Linked DNA regions of Rhinolophus ferrumequinum. The protein of the gene in region 2 interacts with the protein of the main gene of each other region in a pairwise test. Links are inferred from orthologs where the notes say so. Each region holds a gene or a part of one and is shown on either strand. Other genes may lie near its edges.

The links.
Region 1: the proteins of MGAT5B (region 2) and keratin-associated protein 26-1 interact in a two-hybrid assay, tested with the Homo sapiens proteins (3 studies listed by BioGRID and IntAct). The two-hybrid records come from large-scale screens. The link is inferred for Rhinolophus ferrumequinum from reciprocal best matches to the Homo sapiens genes MGAT5B and KRTAP26-1.
Region 3: the proteins of MGAT5B (region 2) and DMRT3 interact in a two-hybrid assay, tested with the Homo sapiens proteins (2 studies listed by BioGRID). The two-hybrid records come from large-scale screens. The link is inferred for Rhinolophus ferrumequinum from reciprocal best matches to the Homo sapiens genes MGAT5B and DMRT3.
Region 4: the proteins of MGAT5B (region 2) and HOXA1 interact in a two-hybrid assay, tested with the Homo sapiens proteins (2 studies listed by BioGRID). The two-hybrid records come from large-scale screens. The link is inferred for Rhinolophus ferrumequinum from reciprocal best matches to the Homo sapiens genes MGAT5B and HOXA1.

What each region holds. Positions count from the first base shown.
Region 1 is NC_046285.1:96,858,462-96,864,067, forward strand, and holds keratin-associated protein 26-1, read right to left. Parts: upstream 1,082-5,606; coding exon 509-1,081; downstream 1-508. UniProt on the Homo sapiens protein: In the hair cortex, hair keratin intermediate filaments are embedded in an interfilamentous matrix, consisting of hair keratin-associated proteins (KRTAP), which are essential for the formation of a rigid and resistant hair shaft through their extensive disulfide bond cross-linking with abundant cysteine residues of hair keratins.
Region 2 is NC_046304.1:51,372,721-51,379,565, reverse strand, and holds the start of MGAT5B (alpha-1,6-mannosylglycoprotein 6-beta-N-acetylglucosaminyltransferase B), read right to left. Parts: upstream 3,006-6,845; 5' UTR 2,364-3,005; coding exon 2,296-2,363; intron 1-2,295. UniProt on the Homo sapiens protein: Glycosyltransferase that acts on alpha-linked mannose of N-glycans and O-mannosyl glycans.
Region 3 is NC_046295.1:34,674,810-34,682,457, reverse strand, and holds the start of DMRT3 (doublesex- and mab-3-related transcription factor 3), read left to right. Parts: upstream 1-4,624; 5' UTR 4,625-4,972; coding exon 4,973-5,426; intron 5,427-7,648. UniProt on the Homo sapiens protein: Probable transcription factor that plays a role in configuring the spinal circuits controlling stride in vertebrates.
Region 4 is NC_046303.1:14,535,064-14,542,953, reverse strand, and holds HOXA1 (homeobox protein Hox-A1), read right to left. Parts: upstream 3,022-7,890; 5' UTR 2,918-3,021; coding exon 2,272-2,917; intron 1,686-2,271; coding exon 1,330-1,685; 3' UTR 169-1,329; downstream 1-168. Other genes in the region: HOXA2 (homeobox protein Hox-A2), read right to left, coding at 7,510-7,890. UniProt on the Homo sapiens protein: Sequence-specific transcription factor. Regulates multiple developmental processes including brainstem, inner and outer ear, abducens nerve and cardiovascular development and morphogenesis as well as cognition and behavior.

The DNA.
Region 1 (5,606 bases), on a different chromosome or scaffold from region 2:
TAAAGACAGCATTCCTAATCTTGCCTTTTCAAAATAACTTCAACCAAGGTCTTTTGGATCTCTCAAATACATAGGATCACAGATCTAGAAAGCAGCTTGAGGAATAAACCATCAAAGTTATTCCCCTACTGTCAGATAAGAATATGTGGTCCAGTAGCCCATGTCCTATTCACTTATCTTGCAAGCAGTTGAGGTTGGTCATTTCTGTGTTAAAATGGAATAATAAAAGACAAACTGAAGACCCAGATTTTTAATTCTGGCTTAATCTCATTTATTACAACACAAACCAAATAAATTCTTCCCACACCTGAGTGACAATGAATAGCATCGTAAACCAAATAATTTCACATCAAGGAAAAATGAAAAAAAAAGGGAGAGAAAAACGTGAAAGGGGCAGCTTGCCTTAGATCAGGCACACTGAAAAGATGAAAAGGCGGTCACTCACTACTAGGAAAGAAGCAGAAGTCCCCAAAGATTGAATTTTTGTCCTTGATCCTCAGCACGATTGCTAGCTGGAACAAGGAAGCTCCTGGCCTCCTAGTGCAAAGCAAGATGGACGACAGGGGCTGAACACATGGGTCAGAGGTTGGCATCCACTGAAGAGAGGATGCAGAGGTCTGAGGCTGCTGGACACAACACTAAGTGGCTGAGCACCACAGGGCATCCACCCCAAGGGGCGGCATCCATAAGTAAGGAGGCTCAGGGGTCCACAGCTGTTGGACATAGAGCTCAGAGGTCGACAGGATATTGGGAGGCAGGAGCTGGAGGTGAAAGAAGCAGCAGGAAGAAAACGCGTTCCTTGGCAGGGTCTGGGCCCATAGTAAGCAGTGGAAGAGCAGCAGGAAGTTTCACAGTTGCTGGGCTCACAGTTTTGTGACTGGCAGCTGGTTGGTTCACTGCAGGTCTCTTGGCAATTGTCCATGAGCCAGATACCATCTTGATACCTGCTGGGAAAGCAGAGGACATCTTCACGGCTCACATTTGTAGAGCAGAGGGCATTGGAAGAGGAGAGAGGAATATAACAGGGATTTCTGAGGGATCCCAAGTTGTAGTTTCCAGAGCAGGAGTTGGGGCAAGTCATAGTGAGGTTTTGTGGGCAGGCTGTGGTTGATTGGAAAGAAATGTGTCTCAAGTTTCTTTGTGCTCCTCATCTGACTTGATCCCTTATATATCTGCAGAAGACGGTGCTTCTGTATACAGACTCTCTTCCTCCTAGTTGCATGAGGCTGCATCAGAACTCTTCATTATGACCCGGAAGTGGATGCTCTCAACTCCTATAAAATGCGGTTACTTGCAAGGCCTTCCATTGATTAAGTAAATAACACAGTGTGACTGAATTTTAATAGGATCTCACCCTCTCAAATTATCCAACCAAATTGCCACTTTTGGAGGTCATTTACTTATTCCTGTTATAAGCCCCACTGCATAAATATTCATAGAATTATTCTCTTGGAAATGTCTTTAAAAGTTGTAGCAAACTTCTTTGAAACACTGGCAAATTATTTCTCTTTGAGAAGGAATCCTAGTAAGAAGCTTAAAAGGAAGTATGTGTAAAAGAATGTGAAAAATCCTATATCTAATGTGGGTTAGAGCAGAAAGAGTTTGAAAGTAGTATAATATGGGAAATGTCAATGTGTCCAGATGTGTTTTGTTTTATTTTAGAATTCTGATAGAAAGTGACTTCCCACCAAAATATCTTTATTTAAAAGAAGTCATGCTCCTCTTATTCGTCTCAATAAATAAATAAAGAGTCAAGCTGAAAGCTGGTTTATGTTTAAAGTTGTCATAATACGTATAGATAAACAAGCTGGGGTCAGGTAAATCTATGGATCCTATGGTAAACAAAAGCAAATCAACAGAATCCCTTAAAGACAATTGAACAAAATTACATTTTTTATACCTATTATAGGATTATGTATTCATGTTACTTGTGTCCCAACTGAAAACTAATGTTTTTCATTAAAAAAAAAAAAAAGAGAGAGAGAGACATAATGATTAAGAGACGGACTTGGATTTGGTTTTGTTTTTTACATTGGTCCTGATATCAGTTTCCAGAGAGAAGCTTCTAAACTGCTTTACATGGGTAATAACATCAGAATAAATGTAGAGTTTGTCTAAGTATGAACACTTTGACGGCTATTCGGGTATATATTTTCTGGTAAAAATTGGATTAAAAAATTCATGATTGTGTTTAGCCTCAACCATTCCATTGCCTTGTTCATATACCAACATATGTAGCAGCTCCAGTGACTATATTAATGGGAATTTTCATTATCTGTTTATCTAATTTCTAATTTTATTATCTAATTTCCAATTTCCTTTAAAATCCAATGTAAGTCACAACACTTTGTTATATTTTGATGTTTAGTGGATACACCCACACCTATTGGGTCTCCCTCTGTACAGGAGGAGTAGAATCTCTGAAATGCAAGGTTGGTTTCTCTATGAGCCAATATAGGACTATTTTCCTACCAGAAATAGGAAAATGAAAATTATATAGGTCCTGTACTAACACATTGAGATTATCTCAGTATTTTAAGTCAGAGAACACTACCCTGTGATGATTTGTACCTCAAGCACTTGAAGAATCCCCTCAATCCCTCCAGTTTTCATCACTTGGTACCTTTGTACACATTGCTAGCATCTTGTGAAATCCTGGATGCAGCCGCTGAATGGTGTCAGTAATAGGTGCAGCCATATTTAACCGAATGCTTACCAAATTTATGTGTTGATGCTCTTTATGCCCGTTCTTCTCTAATATAATCAAGAGCCCAACACCTGCATCTTTAGTACATCAATATATTTGTGTGTATGTAGTGTTTATGTTGTATGCATAAACAAATGGGTTTTTCTGCATGAAGAGAATGGGTGTGGAATAAAACTAGCATTCATTTATTGTCTACTCTGGGCAACACCTTGCAGTGTAGGTACCCACATCTGTAATATCACTTTATTCGCACCATTCTTTATAGTAAATTTTACTATTTCAAGTATTTGTATGAGAAAACTTGAGATGTAGAAAGTTACGATAATTGATATGAATAAAAACCATTTAAACAAAGGGGGTTTTGTTTGGTGGTCCTTCACCCTCTAAAGGTTGTTTTTCTCCCATTATCCAGTATGACATCATATGGACATACAGTGATACCATCATCTAGTAGAGCAATTTGCACAATCGCTCTGATTCCCCAGTCACTATCAGTATCATTTTATGGAACCATGGGAGTATTAATAACTACTTTGTGGTGTCATTTAAAAAATAAATCTAGATGGAAGGAAAACTTAAATGTAAACTGTGAGATACTGTACCTACATAATTTATTTTCTCGCTTTGGCATCCTTCACCCATTCCAAGGAGTACCACCTCAGTTTAATTCCTTTACAGCACCACCATGAGAGTTATTTTTTCCTACTGTGGGTAGATAACACTGCAAAAATATCCACAGAATTTTAGAAAATGCAGTGCCCTTAATATAACAAATGTTGAACTGATGCTTTCGATAGTGACTGTATCACTAAAGGGGAAGAAGAGCTCACGTGGGCAGCACAGCAGGTACCTCATTACCAGTCTCCTATAAACTACAGGTCCCAGGCTCTGCTTCTGATGTAAGAGCCTAAAGATAGACTGAGGACCTGGGCATCCTGTGGGCTCTTCCAGATTTATCCACTTTGTTGCTTTTACTTCAGTTAACTAGGGATCCTTACCTCTCCTAATCTAGAGGAAAAATCCTGAATTTCTTCCTCTCTTGGACACAAGGAATCCTCAGAGCATTGCAACAATAAAAGTTTGCCAATAAATGACATACCTTGCATTCATTCAGTCAACAAATATTTATTGAGAACCTTATTTATGCAAAACATTATGATAGATTCTGACAATGATACCAAGACACTATCAATGTGTTTTTCCAGATGCATCCAATTCTGTAGATGTGCTAAAACAGATACACCATCCATGTCAGTGTTCACTAAATTCTATAAATGGTGTACAGAGAATGGCAAACATTGCTTATTGGTTTGCCTAAACATTGGTATTTGGTATTAATTTTGAAGGCTAGTAGGAAACAGCAGGGGGTTGGGGAAAGGAAAGACACTTCAGACTATGGTAGAACGTGTAAAGGCAGGAAAAATGACTACACGGTGCTTTTAGTGAAATGTTCTTAGAGGTAAGTTGTAATAATGAAACTTAGGTTTACCTGGTGAATCTAATTCAATCATCAAGGCAGTAGTTAAGATTTTGTTCTCTAAGCATGGTGATCCAGTAACTGATTTCAAGAAGAGAGTGCTGTGATTAACTTGCAACAGATGGGAAGGAGTGAAAATCTATTTGTAATGCTTTTCTTACTTGATCCACTAATATGTCTTGTCATCCATTTTTCCCCGCTCTGTTCTCACCGCCATCACTCAGGTAGGGTTCTGTTCCCCTTTGGTAAACACGTGCCTTTCTCACTGCCATCTTGACACCTATTGCTATTGTCATCTCTGTGGGCTAAACACCGTATGTAGGTTAATGCTCCTAAAATTCATTTCATCAGATGGCTCTCTTACTCAAAAATGCTGATGACTCTCCTTTGTCCACAGAAAGTTGTCCAAACACTTGATTCATCCTCCTCTGCTTCCCAATAGAAATTATCTTCAGTCTTGCTGGGTTCTCTGTTCATGTCTCCAATTAGCTCATTTCACATCTCTTCATTCATCTTACCCTTGTCTCCTTTGGAATAATTCTTTTTTTTTTTTTTAAATTAAAGTTTATTGGAGTGACAATGGTTAGTAAAGTTACACAGGTTTCAAGTGTACAATTCTGTAATACATCATCTATATATCACATTGTGTGTCCATCACCCAGAGTCAGTGCTCCTTCCATCACCATATATTTGACCCCCTTTACCCTCATCTGCCACCCCTCTTCCACCTTACCCTCTGGTAACCACTAAACTATTGTCTTTGTCTATGAGTTTTTGTTTCTTTGATTGTCTTGTTCATGAAATAGTGCAATTTGGGACAATGTAGATGGATCTTGAGATTGTTATGCTAAGTAAAATAAGTTAGACAGAAAAAGTTGAGAACCATATGATCTGACTGATATGTGGGATATAAAACTGGAACAATTCTTTAATTTTTCCATCTTGTAGGCTTTAGCTTAATTAGCCCTTTCTTTATAAATACCCTCTACCAACGTAGATATTTCCAGACTTAAATCTGTATAATTACTATTAATTCACACACACACACAAACACACACAAACACACACACACACACACCTTTGCATTACAAACAAAACATTCTTTCTGTATGTGTCTTATTTCCTGACTATATTATAAAACCTTTATTACCAACTATTTACTGAGTCCTTATTATATACCAAACATAGTACTACATGTTTTATACGTATTAACTGATTTAATCTTCATAACATCCCTATTCCGATAGGTCTGATCATTATTCTCAATACATGTGAGGTAACCTCGTTGATTCTTAATAAATATTTGCTGACTAACATCATAGCTTTCACAAAATATAACAGGTTTTCTTTATCAAACAAAAACTGACCTTTACTTAGCCAAGTCAGTAATCTCTTTTATATACTTTTTCCACCATCTATCCA
Region 2 (6,845 bases):
AGAGGGCACTGGGCACTTCCTTCAGGAGGTGACAGAAAGGACAGGAGGAAAAAAAAAAAAAAGGAAAGAACAGACAAGATGGCACAAGAGACACTGCTCCCTCACCTCCCAAAGACACCTCACCAAATTCTAGCAACCCCAGGGGTGGGTCTCAGGGCCTGGGATCCCCAAGATTAAAACAGTCTTGTCTCAGGACAGCAGCCAGAGGGACAGTGTAAAAAGGAGGTGGTCGCACTCCCAAGAAGGTCCTAAGGAAATCAGCTGTTTGTCTTCCCAGCCTGAGGACCGGCAGAGACCCCTCAAGTTTCTCATCCCTCACTTCCTCCACCCACTTCCCCAGCTATGGAGTTGAACTTAGAGAAGGCATCTAAGATCTAGCCCAGAACCTGAAGCCCCCAGCATATCCCTTCTGCATCTGTCTCTGTCAGACCTCAATCCTGGGATCATTCTAGCCTGCCCTTGAGGATTGCAAGTACAGGTGATGTGGTTGGAGGTCTGTCCCCTCCACACCCCCGTCTGAAGGGGACACAAAGACTCCCCTGGCAGCTGTGGGTCTCTGGGAAGCCTAGGGAGTCCCTGAGGCAAAGTTACACAACTTGGAAGGAGGGGAATCTGTGCAATCCTACCCCTGAATCCTGCTCTTGCCTGAAGGAACCAGGACAGAACCCCAGAGGGAAGCAGCGCTTGGGAGCAGACGCTGTCCATGGTGCTTGCGTCCTCCAGCTTCTTCTAATTACACCAAGAAACATCCGGCTAAAGCTTGAGCACGGCTGGCCTTCCCGCGGCCTGGTCAACGGGTTGGACACAGGGTGGGTGAGACGGGGCAAGGACCCTTTCACCAGTACCAGTCAGCTAGAGATTAGAGGATTTCCTGGAGGAGAGAGGCCCTTTCCAGAGACGCCCGCTTCCCATGGGAACCTTGAGTCGGGGGCTCTTGACACCCTCCCAATCACCAGCCCGAGGCCCTACCCTAGGAGACCCCCCAGCCCGATGGTCCTCCCGCGTCCTCCAGACAGCGGTGGTCCAGTATAACCCCTGTCGTGCCTGAAGGCTGTCTCCTCAGCCCCGCACAACTGGCCTGACGGATGGAGGGGGCTGGACGTGTTGTGGGGTCGGTCGCAACGTGAGCCACGGTCTCCTAGTCAAGAGACTGAAGGGAGAACAGCGGGAGCCCTGGGAGGGCCGGGGGCTCTAGCCCGAGGCATGGAGGGGCGGGGCTCAAATTCGGCCCCCCCCACTGCCCAGGCTTCGAGCGCCTCCGCCTGCCCAGTCTCTGCTCTCGCGGGCTCCTACCTGCGCCCTAGACCTTCACCTGTGGCCGCAACGGAGTGAGGCCCACGTCCGGAGTGCGGCCCCCACCCTGGCCCCCCCAGCGTCCTTCCGCCCCCACTCCCCGGGCGAGGTAGCACTCTGAACCCGCTGGACACCCATCGCTTAGCGCCCTCTGCCCAATCCCGACCGTAGGCCGGGTTCCACCGGCTCTTAGGAGAGGAGGGAGCTGCCCGGGGACCGGCGGGCTCTCCGGCCCCATGGGTTGGGATCAGCAGAGCCTGTCCTGCCCCGCGCGAGGCCCTTCCTGGCCTTGGCCACCAGAGGTTGGGGGGGTAGAGGGACCGCTCCTGGCCTCCATCCTGCTTCCACGCTCCCGCCGCGGTCCGGGCTCCCTTAGCCCTTCTGCCCGCAGCGCCGCCCCTGGCCCCGCCTCTCCACCGCCCGCGAACGGGTGTCGAATCCCCAGCAGTGGGGTTCCTTGCCCCAATCTCGGGGACCCTCTCGTTGGAGAAAGGCCCGCACACCGCCACGAGAAGGGCAGCGCACGACGAAGGCGCAGGGGGCGGTGGCACAGGCAGAGGGGGTGGGCGGGCCGACCCGGGTTCGACGGGCCGGCGGGGTGGGGGTGCAGCCCGATACTGCGCGCTAACTTTGCCGCCGGGGTGGGGCAGTCGGCGAGTTGGGGAAGGACCCCGAGGGGCAGGGAAGGGGCGTCCTGGCTAGGAGACTTCCCGAGCCCAGGATCACCCCTGGGCGCTTCCTGCCCGCATTCCCACCTTGCACCGGGAGTCCTCTCCAACCTAGACCAACTCTGGACACGTCCCAGAATTACACACCCTTCCCCACATGAACCCGAACCCCAGCCATTCCTTCCCCAGCCCACCGGCTTCACCACGGGTGGAAGCACAAACTGCCCTCTCTGCCACCGGGCATGCACCCTCGCCAGAACAGACCTCGCGCACCTCCACCCCGCGCCCCCTCGGGGAAAAAGACCTCCCCGCGCCAACCCAGAGAGAACTTTACCGAAAGGGTCTCAGGGTGACCAGGCATCTTCTGACCATTATCTTCCCATCGGGGTTGACTGTGATCATTGTTCAAACTTGTCTGGGCGAGGAGCCACGGACGAGGCCGGACGCACTGTCCCGGGCGCTTCTCCCGCCGCGTCCGGGCCACGAGCCCGCTGCGGGTGGAAACCCGGTGGGAGCGAGGCGGGAGGCACGGAGGCTCGGCGGCTTCGCTACTCTGGCGGAGGCCCGCGGGGTCGACGCGGCCTCGGGGGGCAGGGGAAGGGGAGCAGCGCGGCTGCCGGAGGGCGGCGAGGGCGCCCGGCCGGGCCGTCTCTGCGTCTCCGCATTCACCGCTTCACATTTTGGGGGCCGGGAGGCGGCGCGCCCCCAGACCGCCGGCCGCGCGTCTGTCTGCTCGGGCTCGCTCGTTGGGCGGGACGGCGCCGCGGCACGCAGACGGGATCCCCGCCGCGGGCGCCCTCATCCCCGGGCCCGCGCCCTCGGTGCCGGCTAGCGGCGGCCCCGGGCCCGCGCCCCAGCCCCCTGAGCCTCTGGGCCGCGCACCTCCTCGGCCCGGCGCCGCGCAGCGCCCATGGCTCTCGGCGAGGGCGCCCCGCGCCCGCCCCGCCGCTCGCTTGGCTGCCCGCGCTCGGGTGTCCGGCGTCCTGCCCGCGCCGCGCTACGCGGGGAGGCGCCGCATTGTTTCCTCGGAGGAGGCGGCGGAGCCGCGGCTGGGGCGGCCCGGGAGAGGCTGTCGCGCTTCCTCGGCGCACCGGCGCCATCTCGTGGCCGAGGCCCAGCAGTGCACCCTCCCGGCCCGGGGTGGGGCGCTGGGGACCGGAGGGCGGGAGTCCCTACGCCTCCCCCCAGCGGTGCAACTTCCCCGGTCCCCGCTTTCGGAAATATCCCGGACGCCACCAGCCTCGAGGGCCGAGGGCTGCTTGGGGTCCTGCCGAGCACAGAGGTCAGCGCTAGGAAGAGACACCCCTTCTTCCCGACCAGTGCCAGGGCCCTCCCTCCAGCTGCTGCCTCTGTCGACGTGCTGGGCTTCTGCACCCGCCCCTCACACCCGCTCTGATTTCGCTTTGCAATCCTCACCCATCCTTTTCCCCTCTTTGATCAGAAACTGCTGTGGCTCCCCTCTGCTTGCTGATCTGAATTCAAACTCAACCTGTGGTGCTCAGTTTCTTCCGCTGAGCCCAGAAGAGGAGGACACTGTGTGGGCCTGAGTTCCAGCCTCAGATCCTCCAATAACCAGCGGGTGACGGGTGCAAGTCACGAGGACTCCCTGGCCTCGGTTTCTCCACTATGAAATGAGGGTGACAGAAGTTCGCTAAGGCTCCTTCCAACTCTATAAAGCATTTACATGCCCTCCTCCCACCCCCTCCCTGTACTTCTTGACTTCGGAGACGGGTTTGCTTTGCGATTGCAGAGATGGGTGAGCCCAGAGAGATGGCGGCCAGGCCTGGATTTGAGGAAGCCCCAGGCAACGACACTTGCCAGACCTGACCATTGGCCAGGTGTAGACATGGAGCCCCACGCTGGGAAAATCCCAAGGACTTGGGCCATGTGTAAAATGACATGGATGAGCCTGAAGGTCTCTCCATCCCAGGCTGATTCCGCAGCCTGGCTTAGGAGAGCAGAAAAACCTTTATTCCGCTCCAATTGGCCCTGGTCCCATCCAACCAGCCCTCCGCCCCCAGCCCTTTTGCTGCCCTCCTAGCCCACCTCCCAACCCCCCTTCTGAGCCATTTCTCACCAGCAATGACTCATGCTCTTGCTTTTCCTGCTCCTTCTTCATCAAAATTCACCTGTCCCAGGTTCCATTATCTCATTGCCTTACTCTTTGCTAATGTGAAAACTGATGATGAATTGGTGTTGGCGGATTAATATGTTACTGGAGCTAGGTAACAAATTTGCATTGAACAAGGACATGCTGACCGTACCTTCGTGGGAAAGAGTGAGGAACGGTGGCCGGAAATGTGAGCATCACGGCAGGCTGACCAAGGAGATATCGGGAGGGCAGGGGTCTCTGCCAATCATTCCTCGTGCCTGGGTGCCTACATGTGTCATACACTCCAGCGGTAATTTAATTCTGGGATGTCAAAGCGAAAGCCGCATTTACAGGAAGGGATGAAACGACCCTTCCAATTGTGTATGTCTCTCATGTAAGCTCAGGAGGTTGCATTTTCACCTGGTTGGCATTTTAGGTCAAAGGGGGGGGGTGGTATGGAAGATGGGTCTCCCCCAAAGGCATGGCCATGTCCAGTGCGGCTCATCTGGGGAGGTGGCCTTCCGGCAGCCCGAAGCCAGAATTCAGAAGGGGGGAGAGAATACTCCCCACTCCCTCTGGGCCTTGCAATCTTGGATGTGGGCTTTGAGGTGGGCAGGGGGAGAATGACTGCTGCTATGTGACAGTAAGCTCAGGCCAGGCAGGCAGGCGTAGGAGGACAGTGAAAGCTACTTTCCGAGCTCGGTCACCCAGCTGCCTCTTCTTTTCAGAGTCAGCCTCTCGTCTGCTGTAAGTGCAGTGTAAACGCCCTTGCTTGCTTTCCATTGTGCTATAGCTATCAGGAGAAAAATTGTGACTCCCTGCGTCATGCAACCTTGGGTAGAACGTCTCCATGCCTCAGTTTCCTCAGCTGTAAGTCAGGCTATTTATAGCCTGCCTCGAGGGGCTGTGGTGGGGACTGAACCTGTTAATGCAGGTAAGTTGCCTGTTGCCTGCACCTACGAGCCCTCGGCACGGTGCTGGTGATTTGTCTTGTTTTTGTCTACCTGTAGCAGATGCTGTTGGTGCCTGCCCTGTTCCCTGGATCTTCACCTCCACGTGCCAAAAGGCAGATGACAGAGAACACATGTGACAGTCCCTGAGGCTTATTTTTCTGGTTGTGGGAATATGCTTGAACACACAGGGGTAAGACAGAAGTGCCAGGGAATGAATGCACTTGGAAGCGGCCCGAGTGGATAGATCCCATCTCCCTCTCCTTCAGGTGGGATGCTCTCGCATGTTCCACACTGGCTCCCAGAGTCCTCCAGCAAGACTGAGCTCCAGCTGCCCACGGTGGGGACCGGCTCTGTAAGGCACCCCATGTTGGCTTCCTTTCCTCCCTGCCTCATTCCCCTCCCCGGTTCATGTACCTGGGGTCACCTCCGAAATAAACTACTGGCACGTGCATCCTTGACTCAGAATCTACTTCCGATGAAGGTAAACCAAGACCCTCCCCTACAGCCTAGTGGTTCTCAGCCCAGACTCATGGCCGAATCGCCTGCAGAACGTAACAAAACAGCGTCTTTATTTCTTGATTTGGTACCTAAGGTGAGGCCTGGGCACATTTGTTTTACTGCCACAGGCTATGGCAAGAACACCGGCCAGGGTGGAAACCCATTCTTCCAGATGAATCCCCACTGCCTTCTGATAAGAAAGCAGAGTCGCCCTAAACAAGTGAGAGGAGAATGGGGGAGCAGGAGTCGGGGCGCACTCCTGTTGCAGGGCACATCCAAGAAGTGATGCTGTCAGGTCATACTGGATCCCCAAACCCTCCCCTTTCCATTTTTTTTCTCTTTGGGGGCCATAGCAGAACCACAGGCTAGCCCAATGTAGGGGGCTGGGGTGCAGACTGCATCAGCCTGAGCGCTCTGACTATGCACTTACTGGCTCTCTCCACTGCCCTCTGGATGGAGCTGCTGGCCTGGCTGGGGCGGTCAGCCGATGCCTGGAGCCAGGAGGAGGCCCTGGCTGGGCAGGCCAAGTCCTCAGTGCAGAAAAGGGGAGCAGGATTCCGAGGAAGGGTTTTGGAGGAAGTGAGTCATGTGCAGCTCTTCAGGGTATCACACTCAAAATTCCTCAGTGGTGGGCCAGGCAAAGAAGGGAAGCGGCGACGGGGTGTTCTGGAGCTGTGGTAAGAAATTGCAACAGGCTGAGGGGCTTCAGACAACAAAAACTGATTCTCCCCCAGGTCTGGAGGCCAGAAGTCTGAAGTCAAGGTGTCGGCAAAGTTGATTCCTTCTCGAGTTTCTGAGGGAGAATCCATCCCATGCCTCTCTCCTGGCTTCTGGTGGGGGCCGGTGATCCTTGGCATTGCTGGCTTGGCTTGTGACACATGGCCTTCTCCCCTGTGTCTCTCTGTGTCCTCTCCTTTTCTTATAAGGACACCAGTCACTGGATTAGGCCCACCCTAATCGAGAATGACTTCATCTTAACTAATGACATCTGCAAAGACCCCATTTCCAAACAAGGTCACATCCTGAGGTTTCAGGTAGACATGAATTTGGAGAGGGGACACTGTTCAACCTACTACAGGGACCTAATGGAAAGAGGCCAGAGCGGTTAGAGAGGGGACATGCCTCCGCTGCTTTGTGTGAATATGAGCCCAGTTATTTCAAGAGAGTCAGAAATCTACGCTTCTCATGTGAAGTCATGTAATTTCAAAATGTAGACTCAATTTTTTAAAACATTGTACAAGACCAATAAAATCCATTGGCAGGTCTGCCATCTGGGTCCCCTTTGAGACCCAGCAAGTCCAGCTTTCCTGCAGCCGGCCCCCCATGCTTCCACTGTAAAGA
Region 3 (7,648 bases), on a different chromosome or scaffold from region 2:
CCGCGGTGCTTTGTTCCAGGACTTGGGGGGCGGGGGGAACCGCAGAGAGTTACGGAAATGGGGCTCGTCCTAGGGAAGAACTGCACCAGCGCCCTGAGAAAGAACTCTGGGGGAAAGAGACTGGCATGTCAGTTTGTTGCTAAGATTTCCTTGGCCTTTTTTGTTTTGAATTTTAAAGTCAGAGGAGAAATACTATCTTAAAACTCTTTTAGGGGGCGGGGAGTGGTAGATGAGGGTAAAGAGATCAAATATATGGTGATGGAAGGAGAACTGACTCTGGGTTGTGAACATACAACATGATATATAAATGGTGTATTATAGAATTATACACCTGAAACCTATGTAACTTGACTAACAATTGTCACCCCAATAAACTTTAATTTTAAAAGAACGGTTTTACAGCCAGTGCTGCTCTCATTTTACCTTGGAAGGTAGGAGTTTTTTCTTTTCCTTTACACAGAAGGCAAACAGGGTCTGCAGGCCGCCACTCCGCTCCTCTTCCAAAATGGTGTGGGGACCTGACCCACGCCCTCCTGCTACCTGCGGGGACGAGCTTGTTCTTTTGCACATGGCCACTGCCTCCAAATCCCAGATCTGAGGGGGGAATCCGCAGGTCGGCCGAAAGGCGGAGGCCGCGGGGGCATCTGGGGCTCGTGGCCAGAATGGGGAGTGAGCGACTGGGTGGGGGTCTTCAGGGGATGCGGACCTGGACCCCAGCCCAGTGGGGAGCGCTCCGAAGCGCTTTTCCATTCCCTCCCTTCGAAAGCGTGGAGTTAAGGTCGCCGCTCAGTGGGCCCAATGCAGGAGCGACATCCCTACCCCACCCCCAAAAGTTGGGAGCGGGCACAGCCTGTGTTCGGGCTGGGTCTGATGAATCTGCACCAATGGGAGCGCTTTCTCGGGCGTGAACCACTGGCTTCGAAAGTTCGAGAATCTGAAGGACTGAGAAGCAGCATCTGCTGAGGCTGCACAGGGCCGACGGGGTTGCAGCCCGTTCCCCGCCCTTGTTTGCTCCAAAAGACCTAGGCCTCTGGAGATCCTCGGGCTGCCCACTGCCAAAATGGTATGAAGACATGACCTCCCAGGACCTTATTTCAGCTCAGCCGCGTCCCCCGGGACCGCCAAACGCAGGTTCAGGCGTCCCGGCCTCACGTGGCCTCTGCGCCGCGCCCCAGAGAGCGGCTTCAGGGATGCATGGGGGTTGTGGGTGCGCATGAATTAATTGAGGGAGAACAAGGGCATTATTGTCACCTCAAGAAATCGATTGCTAGTTGCCCCACCGCATCACTAGACATTTGTTCCCCGCTTTTCAATTTGAAGCCAAAGAGCGATGCCTAGAGGCACGGACAGCGTGAGAGCTGAGAAATTCGTAGGCCGGGAGACAGGGCTGGTTTTCCTGCATTCAAAGGACTTTCTGCACGCCCCTGGTTTCCAGCGTCACCGTGGTCGCGATTAAAACGACAAAATAGGAACTCTGACCTCCCCCTCCATGAGATTTCAGCAAAGCCGAAAATTGCCTGATTTATTATACAGCCGGGACAATGTGAAACTGTCTTTTTGTTTCTCGAGGCGAGAAGCCGCTACTACTAGGACTCCCAGATTTGGAGTCAGAACAAGCTCCATTTCTCCGCAAGGATACCTGCATTCCGCGAGCTTTTAGATATACACACACCATGGGATTGAGTGCCGGCCAAGAGAAAGAGAACCACATATGCACATTATCTTTCAGCCTTTCGCTGTTAATACCTGTCACAGTTCTACCCAGTTAATTGTGGTTAGAAAGCACACATGCACATACCCCACCCTGAGCAGAACACGAGTGGGTCCAGTCTAGTGAGGTTACATTTATTTGTGATCCTTCCCCCTCCCTTTCCAAGGTCTTTGATGATTTTTCCCATAAGTGTAAGCTGCCGGGACTTAGTAGAAGCAGGCCGCTCCTTCTAAATGTGATTCGGACCATATGCTTTCCACATTCATCCCCGCTTCAGCTTTTCTTCTCTGCACTAACTGCTAACACGTTATAGTCACCTTGAAATTTCCTCTGCTATTTTCCAATTAAAGGCTTAATAGCCCTGGAAACGGAGTTCATGTGGTGAAGTTTACCATAGCCCCTTGTTCTAAAAGGCTTTCTGCTGGGATCCCATTATGTGCTTGAATAAACCCTTTCTGCAAACAGAAATGGGACTCGGGATTGTCAGGTGTTGGGTTACAATAGACTTTGAGGCAGGGGACATTTTACCAACATAAATACAAACCTGTCCCTATAGGGGGATGTTGTCAAATACTGGGATATGGAAAACATTCCCATCAAATATGAGAAGAGGATTATTGCTCTATATGAAATGAGTATTTCGATCTCGGACCCCGATGTGCACTGGAGTGAAACGGTGCCCCAGGACCAAAAAATGCCAGACTGTTTGAGTAGCAAAGGGATAGGGTGGCTAGGTGACCGAGGGAGGAAAGGGGGTCGTCTTGCTAGTGGGAATACCACCGCCCTCCAAACCCGGGGCAGAGCTTTTCTGCTTTTCTTTTAAAAAAAAAAATGCTTTACTCCCATGATTTTTATACTCCTGGTTTCTCTGACCATTTGGACAAAATCAGGAGAAATGTGGCTTTCAAACAAATCCATGGTCCTCGCGTTCCCAAGAGACCCGGAAGTTTCAGCGCGAACGTTCCCAGATTCAATGTCATTCTAGGCCCTGTCTCTGTCACGTGAAGCGACTCGCTGCCAACTCCCCACTTCTCGGCCTCTGTCCCACCGGGCTGCGGGTGACCTCTGCCTCCAGTCCCGAGAGTTTATGAAGTTCCTTCCGGTTGTAGTGTTTTTGGGCTTCCTTTCCTAGCGAAGACTGGGAGGAGAGGAGGGATTGAGGTGATGGTGTTGGGGGTGGGTAGGAAGGGGAAAAAGACTGAGGGGTCCGTGCCACCACGGTTTTGAGGGGAGGCCTCTCAGGGTTAGCATTCGTGCAAGTGTACCTGTTCATCTCCACCAGAGCAGCATCCAGCGATTCCCAACCCCCGGACAGCTCTGAACCCGGGGCCGGGGCGGCTAAGGGCTTCAGGGGAAACGCACACACCTGCCCTTTTTATCCCTCTTCCCCTCCCAGAATCACCCTTCTAGGAGGAGGGTTGGCTGCTAGAATGCCTGGAGGTGCTTTACTTGAATTCACAACAAACACAGAAGGACGTTTTCAGGTTGCTTGTTTGCTTCAAGGCAGAGAAAAGCGACCTCCCTGAGGTGACAAGGTCCGCTATACGGCCGAAAGGTTGGCTATTGCAGCGGAGTCAACTACGCTCTCGTTTCGTATTCGATTCGCCCAGAAATGAGCTCAGTGTCTGCTCTCAAGAGCATGCGGACCCAGCTCCGGGACTGGCATCTCCCCCTCTTCGCAGTGAGCAGTTGTATTGCCCTGCGCCGCTGTACCCTCCAGTGTTTTGTTTTTGTTTTCTTGGATTGAGAGGTGGGGTGGAGGTTAGTCGTCCCTGTGCGTTTGCGGCGCTAGTCTGCATTAGGCCAAACCGGTACTCTATGAAATTAGAAACGCGCAAATAACAGTTTAAACAAAGTTTGATGCTGTCATCTTATGCAAGCCCCCCCCCAAAGACAATGCGGTGACAGAAGAATGACTCCATCCCTTATCTATTACTAAGTGCCTGAGTCCGTGGAGATTTGAATTGGGTGACACGAGACATCGGTTTGATGGTTCAGTGGCTGTTGGACAGAGGGGAGATCATAGCCAGTAACTTTTGGGGCGCTATCGTCGCTTCCTCGTCCACTCTAAAAATTTAGACCCAGCACTTAACGCAAATCCTCCACACCAGCGCTTCCCCCTCCTTTCAAGACTGAGACTGTTTTTTTTTTTTTTTACTAAAACATGGGGAGGAGAATAAAGAGATTAAACTCAGAGCGGAAGAGGGAGGACTGTGCCTGCAAACTGGGTTGTCATTCTTGGGCTAGCAGGTTTTCAAAAACATTCATTTTCTTCGGCAGGAGTAAGATTTTTTTTTTTAATGTTGCAAAAGGAAATCAAGAAAGAGCCCAAATTTCCTGAACCAATTCCACTACTCTACTCCCAGTGGCCTCAGGGCCTGACTCGCCCCAACTTAAAACCCTCTGGACTCATGCCGGGTCCCGAGTACATCCGCAACGCTGCGGAAGGCTTCGGTTCTCGCGGAGCCGCGTTTCTGCGGCCAAGTGCTGGGATAAAAGCAGCCTCGGGCTCGGTGCCGCCAAATCAGGCCTGGTGGGAGGAGAAGGGATCGAAGGGGAGCCGGCAGCTCACTCGCCTATAGGCACCCCCACCCTCACCCCGCTGACCCTCCCCTTCTCTGCCTGGAGTGCATCACTGCGTCCCAGAGCGCTGCAGTCCCTCCCGCCAGGGGCAGGGGAAGCGCAGAGAGCTTGGAGGAGGGGGCCGTGAGCGCCCCCGCGAGAGCTGCCTGGCTGCAGGTGGCAAGGTGATGTGTAGGCACTCGAGGGGCGCAAGGAAGGAGGAAAGCGTGGGGTGGAGTGGGGAGTGCAAGGAGTCCGGGACCCCGGGGGTGGGGGTGACACTGGGAGGGAGGAGCAGTGGGGGGAGGGCGGTGGAGGAGGTGCTGGGCCCGGGCAGCGAGCGCGGGAGCTGCAGACGAGCTGGCTCAGACCTTAACCAGAGTTCTCGCCGGCTCCTTGTAGCCGCCGGAGCGCCTCGGCGAGGGAGGACGTGCGGGCTAAAGCCTCCGCTGGAAGAGACGCGACCCGCGTGGGACTGGCGGAGTACCAGCGGGAGGCTGAGGCTGCGAACGCCACGGAAGCCATAAAGACGGCTGCTGCACCACCGGCCGTCCCGGAACGCACGCGGCCTCCAGGGCTGCGTGACCAAGGACCGCGCCCCGGGGAGGCCTCCCGGGAGCGGGCTTCCCAGTCCCGCAGTTCAGCGTCCCGTGGCCCGCTCGCGCCGCCAGCCCGCCAGCTCTTCCGGGAGCCTGGGGCATGAACGGCTACGGCTCCCCCTATCTGTACATGGGCGGCCCGGTGTCGCAGCCGCCGCGGGCGCCCCTGCAACGCACGCCCAAGTGCGCGCGCTGCCGCAACCACGGTGTGCTGTCTTGGCTGAAGGGCCACAAGCGCTACTGCCGCTTCAAGGACTGCACCTGTGAGAAGTGCATCCTCATCATCGAGCGTCAGCGAGTCATGGCGGCGCAGGTGGCGCTGCGCCGGCAGCAGGCCAACGAGAGCCTGGAGAGTCTCATCCCCGACTCTCTGCGCGCCCTGCCGGGACCCCCGCCGTCGGGGGACGCCGCCGCCGCCCCGCAGCAGCCCCAGACCTCGCAGCCATCTCAGCCGCCGCCGCCGCGCCCCGCCGCCGAGTTGGCTGCCGCCGCCGCGCTACGCTGGGCCGCCGAGCCCCAGCCCGGGGCGCTGCAGGCACCGCTCGCCAAGCCAGGTAAGAGCATCTGCGGGGCGGGAGCCGGGCCCGGCGTTAGGGGGAAAACACTTCGGAGCTCCTGCGGCGGCTCTGCCTGGGAGGCCCGGAGGCAAGTTTGAGGAAGTGGGCCGGGCCGGGCCTTCCTCCCCAAACCCCGCCAAGCTGGTTCTTACTCTCCGTGCAGAAGCCGGCCTTCAGCCTGGATCCAGCAGGTAGAACCAGGCGCCCGCAGGAAAGATTCCGTGGGCAAGCCAAACGGCAGGACTGTGCGACTGGCCTGCCAACTGTCACCACTAGTTTAAAGGGGAACGTGGCCGTTTCAGTGGGAAAGTAAAGAGGTCGAAACAAGACCATATTAAAAATCCACGCGGGCATACACACAACGGTGCGGCAGGATTTTCCTGGCTACGAACTTCTAGGGAACCTTGCATTTGGAGATAGGGACAGGTAGATGCAGGGACAGAGCCAAGGCCCAAGACTTGGCTGACTGCTAGCTGGGCGTGCTTCTCGGCCCTGGGGGAACTGGAGCGAACCCGAAGCCTGCGTAGTAGTGCGCACTGTGGCCTTCAGCCTCTTGTAATTTGTTGAAAGAAGGCTCATTTAGAAGCAATGCTAAGAAGGGCCAGAAAGACTTCTAAACTTATAGCGAGGACCCAGAATCTAGAGAGCCCAGAGTCAACTCCTTTTGCAAAACTGCTCAGGTCCTTTAACACCTTTACTGGGTCCGCCCTCAGTTGTCTCTGTGGTTTAAAGAAACAAACAACACTTGATCTATAGCGAGGAAGGCCACCTCTGGCTAGCCCTTTCCCGATTCTAGGTAAGCCTGGGCCTCCAGCTGCTAAACCTCAGATTTGGAGCAAAGGCTCTCTGGTCCTCTTGCCTCAACTCTCCTCTTCTCCGCTGCCCTGCTTTGTAGAGGGTGGACTGCCCTGAGCCCTGAAGGTGGGCAGATTCCCTCACCCCCAACTCCTGCTGCCATCCCTTTCCCTCCTTCAGGCCTCTGGAGTCTGCAGACCCCAGTTGAGTCTTTCTCCTCAGGAATCTCTAGCTTGTCCTGCCCAGCCCAAGTGCTCCTTTAATTTTAGGCTCTTGGAATTCAATGGACATGTGTTTGGTGTTTCCCTTTCATTGTGGCAAATGTACAAAAGAAAAAAGCCCATCTTCTCAGGGAGGGGGTTAAAGGGTATGCTGGAAGTCTGAGAGCGAAAGCCCTGGAAGGCCCAGAGCCCTGTATGTAGAACTGTGGTAGAGCTTCTGTCTATATCTCCCACTCTCACACACGTCCAAGGAGATTGTGGGGGTCTGCGAATGCTTCTGGCTTCTGGAGAGAAGCTTTCAGGAACAGTGAACTGCTGTGTGGAGCTGGGGAAGTGCAGACTCACTGGTTTAGTGGTGATTTGATAGGCAGCTTGGCAGGCACAGTTTTGCTGCCCTGTTGCTCAGTTATACTTTCCAGGCCAGAAGCTCTTAGAACGTCTTATGTGAAGAGCAGAACTGGGTATTGTAAGGACAGAAGAGAATTTGCTGAACATGGATGTTGTGGATATTTAATCCAATATAGGATATAAGCATTTCTCTGGTAATGTCCCCCACCCCAGTTGTCTCTTTTCTGTCAGTCTGATCTCTTCATATTTGTAGATTAGCCACAGAGGAATAGGAGGAGGGAAGAGAAAGAAGGCCTAGTTTACTTTTCTTCTTTAGGTTAGAGAGAGTTTTGTCTCAGTTCTAGAAGCTGATCCCTGCTAGTAATTTTTCTTAACCTTTCTGTTTCCAGTTTCCCTATCTCCATTTCCTCAGCACTAGAGCAGGGATCTGAATTTGTCAGTGGTAGCATTTTGCAGTGGCCACCTGCCCAGCAGCACTCCTGTAATAGGGCTTTGGATTTTGGGATCCTAGTCTTAAGAGAGGATTCCTTCCACATCCTGTGCTCTTCAAACCATTCTTCTGGGTAGCCAAAATTCATGGCTTCTAAAGAGTCACAAAACCAAAAACAATCCTGGGAGGGGGTAGTGAGGGCAGGAAGAAAGGTGGAGCTGCAGCTGCAGCAGCAGGAGGATACAGCGTTTGGGAGAATGAACGAGGGAGACTGATTTCACCTGGACAAATCAGACCTGATGCTCTCTCTTTTACTCTAAGTATTCAGGGATAGATAGCCGGATCCCTCCAAATTGAAAAGAAGTAATTGCAAAGGAGAATAGGATTTACTGTGTTTCCCCGAAAATAACACTGGGTCTTATATT
Region 4 (7,890 bases), on a different chromosome or scaffold from region 2:
CACCTATGTATTAGAAAGCGCTTACTTTTTTTTCAAGGGAAGTCCCACCTCCTTGAAAATGCACACCACCTGTCTCCCCTTCCCCACATGAAATGAGCCAACTTTGTAGGAACCAACAAATAGTAACCAAGCCAAATACACGGATGCTTAAGCATATCTGAAACTTGAATGTATTTATTACAGACATCTTAAGACCCGTAAACTCTGCTCTGGATCACATCACTCCAGGATCTCAGAGCTGCTCATGATTGTACAGGAAATGGGGAATATCATAGGCTCACAGAGGATAACTGATAGAACTCAGTGTGGTACTTCAGGGACATCAAAACATTGTGCGACATGCAAAAGACTATTCACGAATCACACAAAATATACATTCATTGTGCCATCCATCACATTAACAATTGAGCTGAAAATACACCAGTTCCAGCTAAGATAACTGTAGAAAGAAGAAGCTCATTTGAATAATACCTTTAGGTTCTGAATAATCCAGCACAGAGTTGAAATAGAGTGGTGTGGCCAGAGAAACAAGAAAGGGGTGGGGATGAAGGGAGACTTAAGCACAGGAAACAAGGTTTCTGAACCTTGTGTTCTGCAGGCTTTCTTAACTCTCTAAAAGAATAAATTGAGGCTACCCTCTGAGGCAACTGATTGAGTTGAAATGATGCCTTTTATTCTTTAACCTAGAATCACATATAAAATTGTACCAGCTTTGAGAGTTTGCCCACCCTGTTTTAGTCACTTAATCTAAACATTTCTAAAAAAATCTGTATAAAGATAAATCTCTCAGAACAAAGTATTTACAACCAGCAAACTCACACACATGAAACTGAATTAAATTAAAAAACAAATCGTGTAAACACACTCATAGTGCATCTCTTCTTCATGAGCTCCTGGACTCTCTCCTTTCTCTCTATCATTCTTTGAGGTCAAAGTAGGAGAGAACTGTAAATATACAAATAGATAAAAGATGAGAGGCCTTTCTCTGACATGTTTCTGCTGGCAAAGGAGACTTTTCCAAAGGGCATCTGAAAGGAACAGAAGGTTCCGCGGAAATTGCCTAAAAGTAGGGAGGGGTGTTAGGAGCCATCAGAAAAGTGATGCTGGCACCCAATCTGCATTAAGGAGTTAACATCCTCCACCCCACCCCACCCCCCAGATCAAGTGAAGAATTCTCTGGAAACACATTATCCTGCCCAGGAGCTCCCCAGATAGGATCAGAAAGAGAGAGACTGCAAATGGAAAGGAAGATAAGCTAAGAATGTGCTTTGGGTAAGAAGTCCCAGCCCAGGAAGAGCCTGGGCTGAGGAGTCTGGGGCTGGGCCGACCTCAGTGGGAGGGAGTCAGGGTGTCTGAGGTAGAAGACCCCGGGGAAGGAACGCAGGGCGAGGAGCTGGACTTCTCTGAGGATTCCTCGGCCTTCTCTTCGCTTCCCGGCGGGGTGGCGGGAGAGATGGGCAAGAGGCCCTCCTTCTCTCGTTTCTTCTGCTTCATTCGGCGATTCTGGAACCAAATCTTCACCTGGGTCTCATTGAGCTGCAGGGACGCGGCAATTTCCACCCTGCGGGCGCGCGTCAGGTACTTGTTAAAGTGGAACTCTTTCTCCAGCTCGGTGAGCTGCTTGGTGGTGAAGTTGGTGCGCACCGCATTGGGTTGACCCACGTAGCCATACTCTCCAACTTTCCCTAGGGACAGGGTGGGAAGCGACCAGAGAAAAAGGTACAATTTTTACAATCAGTATGAGATCCCCTACAGTTTCAGAACAATATTCAGGTAAAAGGGAGATCAAGAATTTCACAACACACACCAGTCTGGGGAGGGTGAGTAATGAGGTGTAAAGTGTTAATCTGAAGTCAGCCATTAGCGTGGTCAGACCCGTGATTAATGGAGCCTATAGATATTAACAGAATTCCCCCAGCACACACAACTTCCCACTTCCTACTTCCAGAACCTCTAATCCTCAGCCCCTTTGAAAACACAACAGTCCCAGACGGTCCTTTGCCCCAACACACCAGGGCAATCTCCCCACGTCCTACAACACTGGTGTGTAGCAAGAACTTAAAATTATATATATATATATATATACACATATATATACACACATATATGTATATGTATATATGTATATATGTGTGTATATATATGTATATATGTGTGTGTATATATATATGTGTATATATGTGTGTATATATATATATATATCCCTTGGACACTAAGCATACAAACTCCTTCCACAATCATCAAGGGACATCATGGAATGGCAAGACTGACCTGTTTTGGGAGGGTTTCTTTTGACTTTCATCCAGTCAAAGGTCTGCGCTGGAGACGTCTCTGATGCAGGGGAGCGACAGGCTTCTTGGTGGCTGGCGTGGAGAGGGGACAAGGAGTTATTATACGTGGCCAGGGCCAGGCTCTGGTGCTCTTGTCCATATGAGTGGTGAATGTACTGAGGCGAGCCCACCGCGCCCCCGGCATAACCCTGGTGGTGGTGATGCTGGACCATGGGAGATGAGAGATTTCCAGAGTAAACAGCGGGAGCGCACGAGGGGTACCCACCACTTACTTCTGCTTCCTGATTTAACGCGTAAGGGCTGTAAGGCGCACCGAAGTTCTGCGCGCCGTAGCTTGGACCACAACTCGAGTGGGAGTAGGACACCCCCAGGTTCCCGGGAGTCTGGTAGGTGGCCGTCTGAGGGTGATGGTGGTGGTGGTGGTGGTGGTGGTGGGGCGGGCTGATCTGCACCCCCCTGCCCACTAGGAAGCGGTCGTCGCCGCCACAGCTGTTGGCACTGACCGCGCACGACTGGAAAGTTGTAATTCCATGGTCGGAAGGGTAGGCTCGCGCTGAGCAGGTCCCCGAGTCGCCACCGCTGAGGATGGGGTATTCCAGGAAGGAGCTCATTTTTGCATTGTCCATCTGTCACTGAGTAACCGGGTCCTGCGAAGTCCTGGGTGACCGTGCCAACTTTCTCACTTCCTCCATGGGGCCGGAGAAGAAAAATGATATGAATGTACAGTGCGCAAGGGGGGGGCGGGAGGGTGGAGGGCGCTACGGGAGGGGCACGTGACTATGTCAGCCAATGGCGGAGCCTCCTGCGAAAGTTTGCTGGCTCCCGCAGTGATGGATCACCGTTTCAGTGGCATTTAAATCCCCGGCGCTCCTCAGTCTAGGTGACGCGCAGTCGCCCCCCCAGGCAGCGGCAGCAGCTGCGGCGGCTGCTAGGGCAGATTCCGAGCTCTGGGGCGAAGGGGAGCAGAGGCTTGCCTTCCGCGCGCCGACTCCGTTCGCCCTCCCCCCCCCCGAGGTGGGGGCTGGGAAGCATCCCTTTCTCGTCTCCGCCCCCTCCCCACCGCGCTCAGAAAGATGAACTGGCAAGAGGTGAGAAGGGAAGAGAGCTCCGTGCTCTCCTGGGTCGGGAATCAGTGGGCCGGAGATCGGAGCGCGCCGAGCAGGAAGGGTAGGAACCGGGCCGGCACAGCAGCCCAAGCTCCCCCGGAGCTTTCACTGCACATTCCCTGCTGTGGTGCCTTGGGGCAGTGAGGAGCACAGAGCATGGTGGCTTCGGTTAAGGATGGGCCACCAGCTTTCCAGACTCGGAATGGAAAGGAAGTGCGCAGAGGGCTGGCTGGGAGGGCGTGGAGGAGACGTGGACAAGAAAGAAACTTCCCTTCTCCAAGGAGGGTCTCCGAAACTTCTAACCTCCACCCCACCTCCCCCACGGACTATTAGCATGGGTGTGAGGAGCTTCGGTAATTTGACGCCCGGGAGCTGGCCGAACCCTCGGAGCTGAGCTCGCCGGAAAAGGCCGGGGCCGCTGGGCTCTCCGCCCTCCCTCTCTCCTGGCTCTCCGCCCCTTTCTCCTCCCCACTCAGCTTTGCTTTGGGAGCCCTATGGGATCCGGAGCAGCTCGGCCGCTAGATTTTGAGGGTTAGGAGGCGGGGGAGAAAGATGACGCTAGCGGACGTGGCCAGCGTGGGGGCCGGGCCATGCGCTGCAGGCCATCTGCCGGCTCCCCAAGACCCAGGAGCCGGCGCGCTGCGGCTGAGCCCTCAAAGGGCGAGACTACAGCTCCCACAAAGTACGCTCAACTCCCACCCCACACCCCCCGCGCAACGTTTCTCGTTTTCTGGAGGGAGAATGTTAGGAGTTGATAGAGCTTCCTTTATTCACCACCACCCCATTCTACTGCGTATCTGAATTGGGGATGGGGGCTGGCAGGTGGGAGGGGCGGTGAACAGATGGCCGATGGTGGACGGGACATTTTCTTCTTCCCCCACAACACCTCCTCCTTTTTGTAACTGTGTAGTTCCTTGTGTGAACCTTCAGATCTTTCCCTAGAGAGACACGTGCAAATCTGAGTGTCATTCTAGGCCAGGGGTCCTGTTCTCCATCACCCTCATCCTACCCAGATTCTGACGGGGTCGTTAATTGCTGTTTACTATTAGGTTTCATGTCAACCCTTGGCTTGTGGAGAGAAAAGGCCAAACAGAGACCGAGAATTGAAGCATTCTTAGGTAGAAATCCAGAGATCATCCAGGAAGCTTCGCAGCCAATGCAGTCTAGATTTTACTCTGACCATGTTTACCACATCGGAATTAGACAGATGAAATTTATCTAAGGATTGTATTCTGAGTTCTGTTCTCCATATACAGAAGTTCCCTCAAAACGTGTCCTCCCAAGAGGGAAAACTCTTGCAGACATTTGACTGTGGATTCCCTCAGTGGCAAAGAAACATTTTCCCTAAACATTTCTTTTTGGAAAGTTATTTTCCTGTGACTTTTGACCCATCCCCAATCACGGTTAAGAGGGAGCACAGGCAGGAAAGCTCACTCCTGACCCAATTTCAGCACTTGGGGAACTTCATCCTGGAGAAGGGAAAAGGCAAGGCGGCCCTCCTGGAGGCGGCTTCCTTGGGAGCGCAAAGGCCTTCAGTGACGGCGAGAGAAGGGGCTACTATGGGGATGGAGGCAGGACATGAGGGGGTCCTTGCTGGCATTGCGCACGATCTGCAATCCGAGCCGAAGCTCGTCGGTATGTTCTCCCCCCTGCCTTATACCTGCCCCTTTGTTGGCCTCCACCGCCCGGGGTTTACGCGACGTCCTAGGCCGCAAGGCTCGCGCCGCAAAGCCACCCCCGCCACAACCGCTGTCCTTCCTCTGCTAGTTCTCGACCTCTTCTCTCCTCTCTTCCTCCCTCCCGGGCTCTTTTCAGGGCCAGCAGGGGTGGGTGTATTTCTTGGGATCACAAGCTTGAACGGGCACAGAGGCAGGCACTTGAACTGGCTACCCACCCGCCTCAGCGCAGTGCTCCCCTCTCCCCGCAGGCCCGGCTCTCGCAGCTGAGTCCGCTCCGCCCCGGCTGGCCGCCCTGAGCGCTGCTCTCCCGGTGCTGCTCACAAAGGCAGCCTCCCTGGCCGCGAGCCCGCAGGCTTCCGTAGCTCCCCACCCCCACGAAATCCTGGGGCTCATTCTGCCGGGTAGGAGACCCTCGGTCCTCTGGGCAAGTAGGCCAGCGCCCTACGACTCGAGCTAAAGCCCCTTTAAACGCCCGGGGAGAGTGGGTGGAAAGCGAGCTTGGCCACTATTTAAATGATCTCCTGCAAGCGGCTTGCTGGGCTCCAACCGCCTCTTTCGGGGCTCTTCTACTAGAGAAGGAAGGAGCGAGGAGACAAAACGCCGCTGCGGAGGCCGCGAGCTGTTCCTGGCATACGCGGCTCAGCCAAGCTGTTGTTTTAAAAGAGCAATAAAAATGAATTATGACTAAACGCCTTCTAACTTAATGCTTTCGGACGGGGATCCCCGGCAAATACGTAAGAGGATTTTTATTTGTGCATGTGTTCCTGCAATTGATCTCTTTGATGACATTCTCATTCATAGAAAGCGTTTGATTTATGAGCGTAGGACGAATCGCAAACAGCGGCTCAGCCCTGGCCGCTGCCGGGCCGCCCTGCTCCGCGCCGCGCCCGGGGCAGGAGACCCGCCAGGGTCCTCACACGCCTCCGCCGCTGCTGGGATTTGGGGGTAAAAGGGTGGGGGAAGGTAGATAGCAAACCCTTGGAGAAAGACCATGATTTCATTGTAACTTCCAAGCCTTTGCTATTAAGAGCTGGGTTCTTAAATCAACCCGCCCCCCACACATGTTGCTTACACGCTGCGTTTTCTCACGGTAAGTAGCCGTCAGAACAGAGCTCAGGAAGGGAAAAATAAATATGGGGAGACATAAGGAGGGGGGAAAAAAAACAGAACAACCCAGTAATATACCCTAGATCACATTTTATTGATATATCATTTAAAGTGCTTTATCTCTCTTTCTAGAAACTGGATTAATTTATAACCTAGGGTGCAGAAATACTCCATTTTAAATCTCAACTTGCTAACCTGACTTCAAAGCTTTAATGATCCATTATTTGCCATGTAAACAGATTTAAGAATGAAATATTGATTTTTCTGACCCTTAAAAAAAGAATCCTAGAATGACTGAACGAGAGGATTGGAAAGAACCCTTTCTGAAGTGCATTTTCCGGCCAGTAACCATCATTTTGTTTTATTTTTGTTTTTCTCTATCTTTTAGGTCTGTTTGCCTGGAGCCATCAGCAGCTGGGAAACTAATCAACCACACTGAAAATGTTCGGGGATTTGTGGGGGAGGGGTCGGAATGTAGATGTTTGAAACAAATGTGTATAAATAAATGAATTCTTGATAACTTAGTTATTGACCTGGAGATTGGTAGCTTGTTAAAGAAACTCCGCGTTCCTTCTTCCTGGAGTTGGGGGTTTCTATAGGCACTTTATTTCTCCACTATCAAAAGCTTGGGCTTGGCCCAACTCTGAGGCTTCCCAATCTTGTTTCTATTACCAATTTAAATCTATGGCTTGAACCTCTACACTGAAAAAACAAATCCATTCCCTTAAATTAAAAAAAAAAAAAACACTTTTCAAAAGCCCTAACCATTTTCTGGCTTTCTTTTTTTGTTGCTGTCTATTGAAGATTTTGAACATGCCCCCTTAATAAATATATTAAAATTGAAAAAGAAGATGAATTGTGACCAGAATTTTATTTACCAAGTTAGACTAAAAGAAGAAAAAGAAACCGTTAGGAGCCTTGAGAAAGAGGGGTAGAAAAAAATAAGAAAGCTACTTATAGCAAAGGAGAATTTATTCTACCAAAAATACGCATGACAATGCATACTAATGTAATACAAAAATAAAAAGAAAGTGAAGATACAATTATATGATCACTTTCTTGCAGGCCTCATATATTGCTTTCAGTAAATCACATAAAGGGTTGTTGGATTAGATTTCAAACAACTAAAACTCCAAAATAATCTGTAAAAGATGCCTCTGAAACTGGGTCAGGGGAATCACTAAACAGAAAATCTTCAACATTTAGAGGAGGGAGAGAGTAGGTCAAGAAGAAAATAAAATAAAAATCAACTCAGAATAAAAGAAGGCAAAACCACCTGGTCAAAGGGGTTTTTGTTTTGTGATGCTTTGTTTTGCTTTAATGTTTTTAGTAATTCAGATGCTGCAGGTCGATTGTGGTGAGTGTGTCTGTAAAAAAGTCAAAGCTGTCAGCTGAAATATCTACGGGACTGTCGAGGGAACCTGGCAAACTGGGCGAGACTGCATCTGAAAGCTGCAGGCAGGAATCTGTGGAAAAAACGTTAAAGTCCTGCAAAGAGGGGACCTCGAGGGCCTCGGGACTGTCATTGTTTAGGCCAGAGCCACAGTTCTGGCCCATTGTTGACAAGCAGTTAGGAACAGTGGGTGACTGGTGCTGAAAATGTTTCAGATTTTTCTCATTGCTGGTTAAAGGCGAAACTGGGAAACTTTGGGAGTCGCCATTGTGTCCATTGGGAGCCTGCTGCTGAGAGAGGGCATTTTGCTGAAA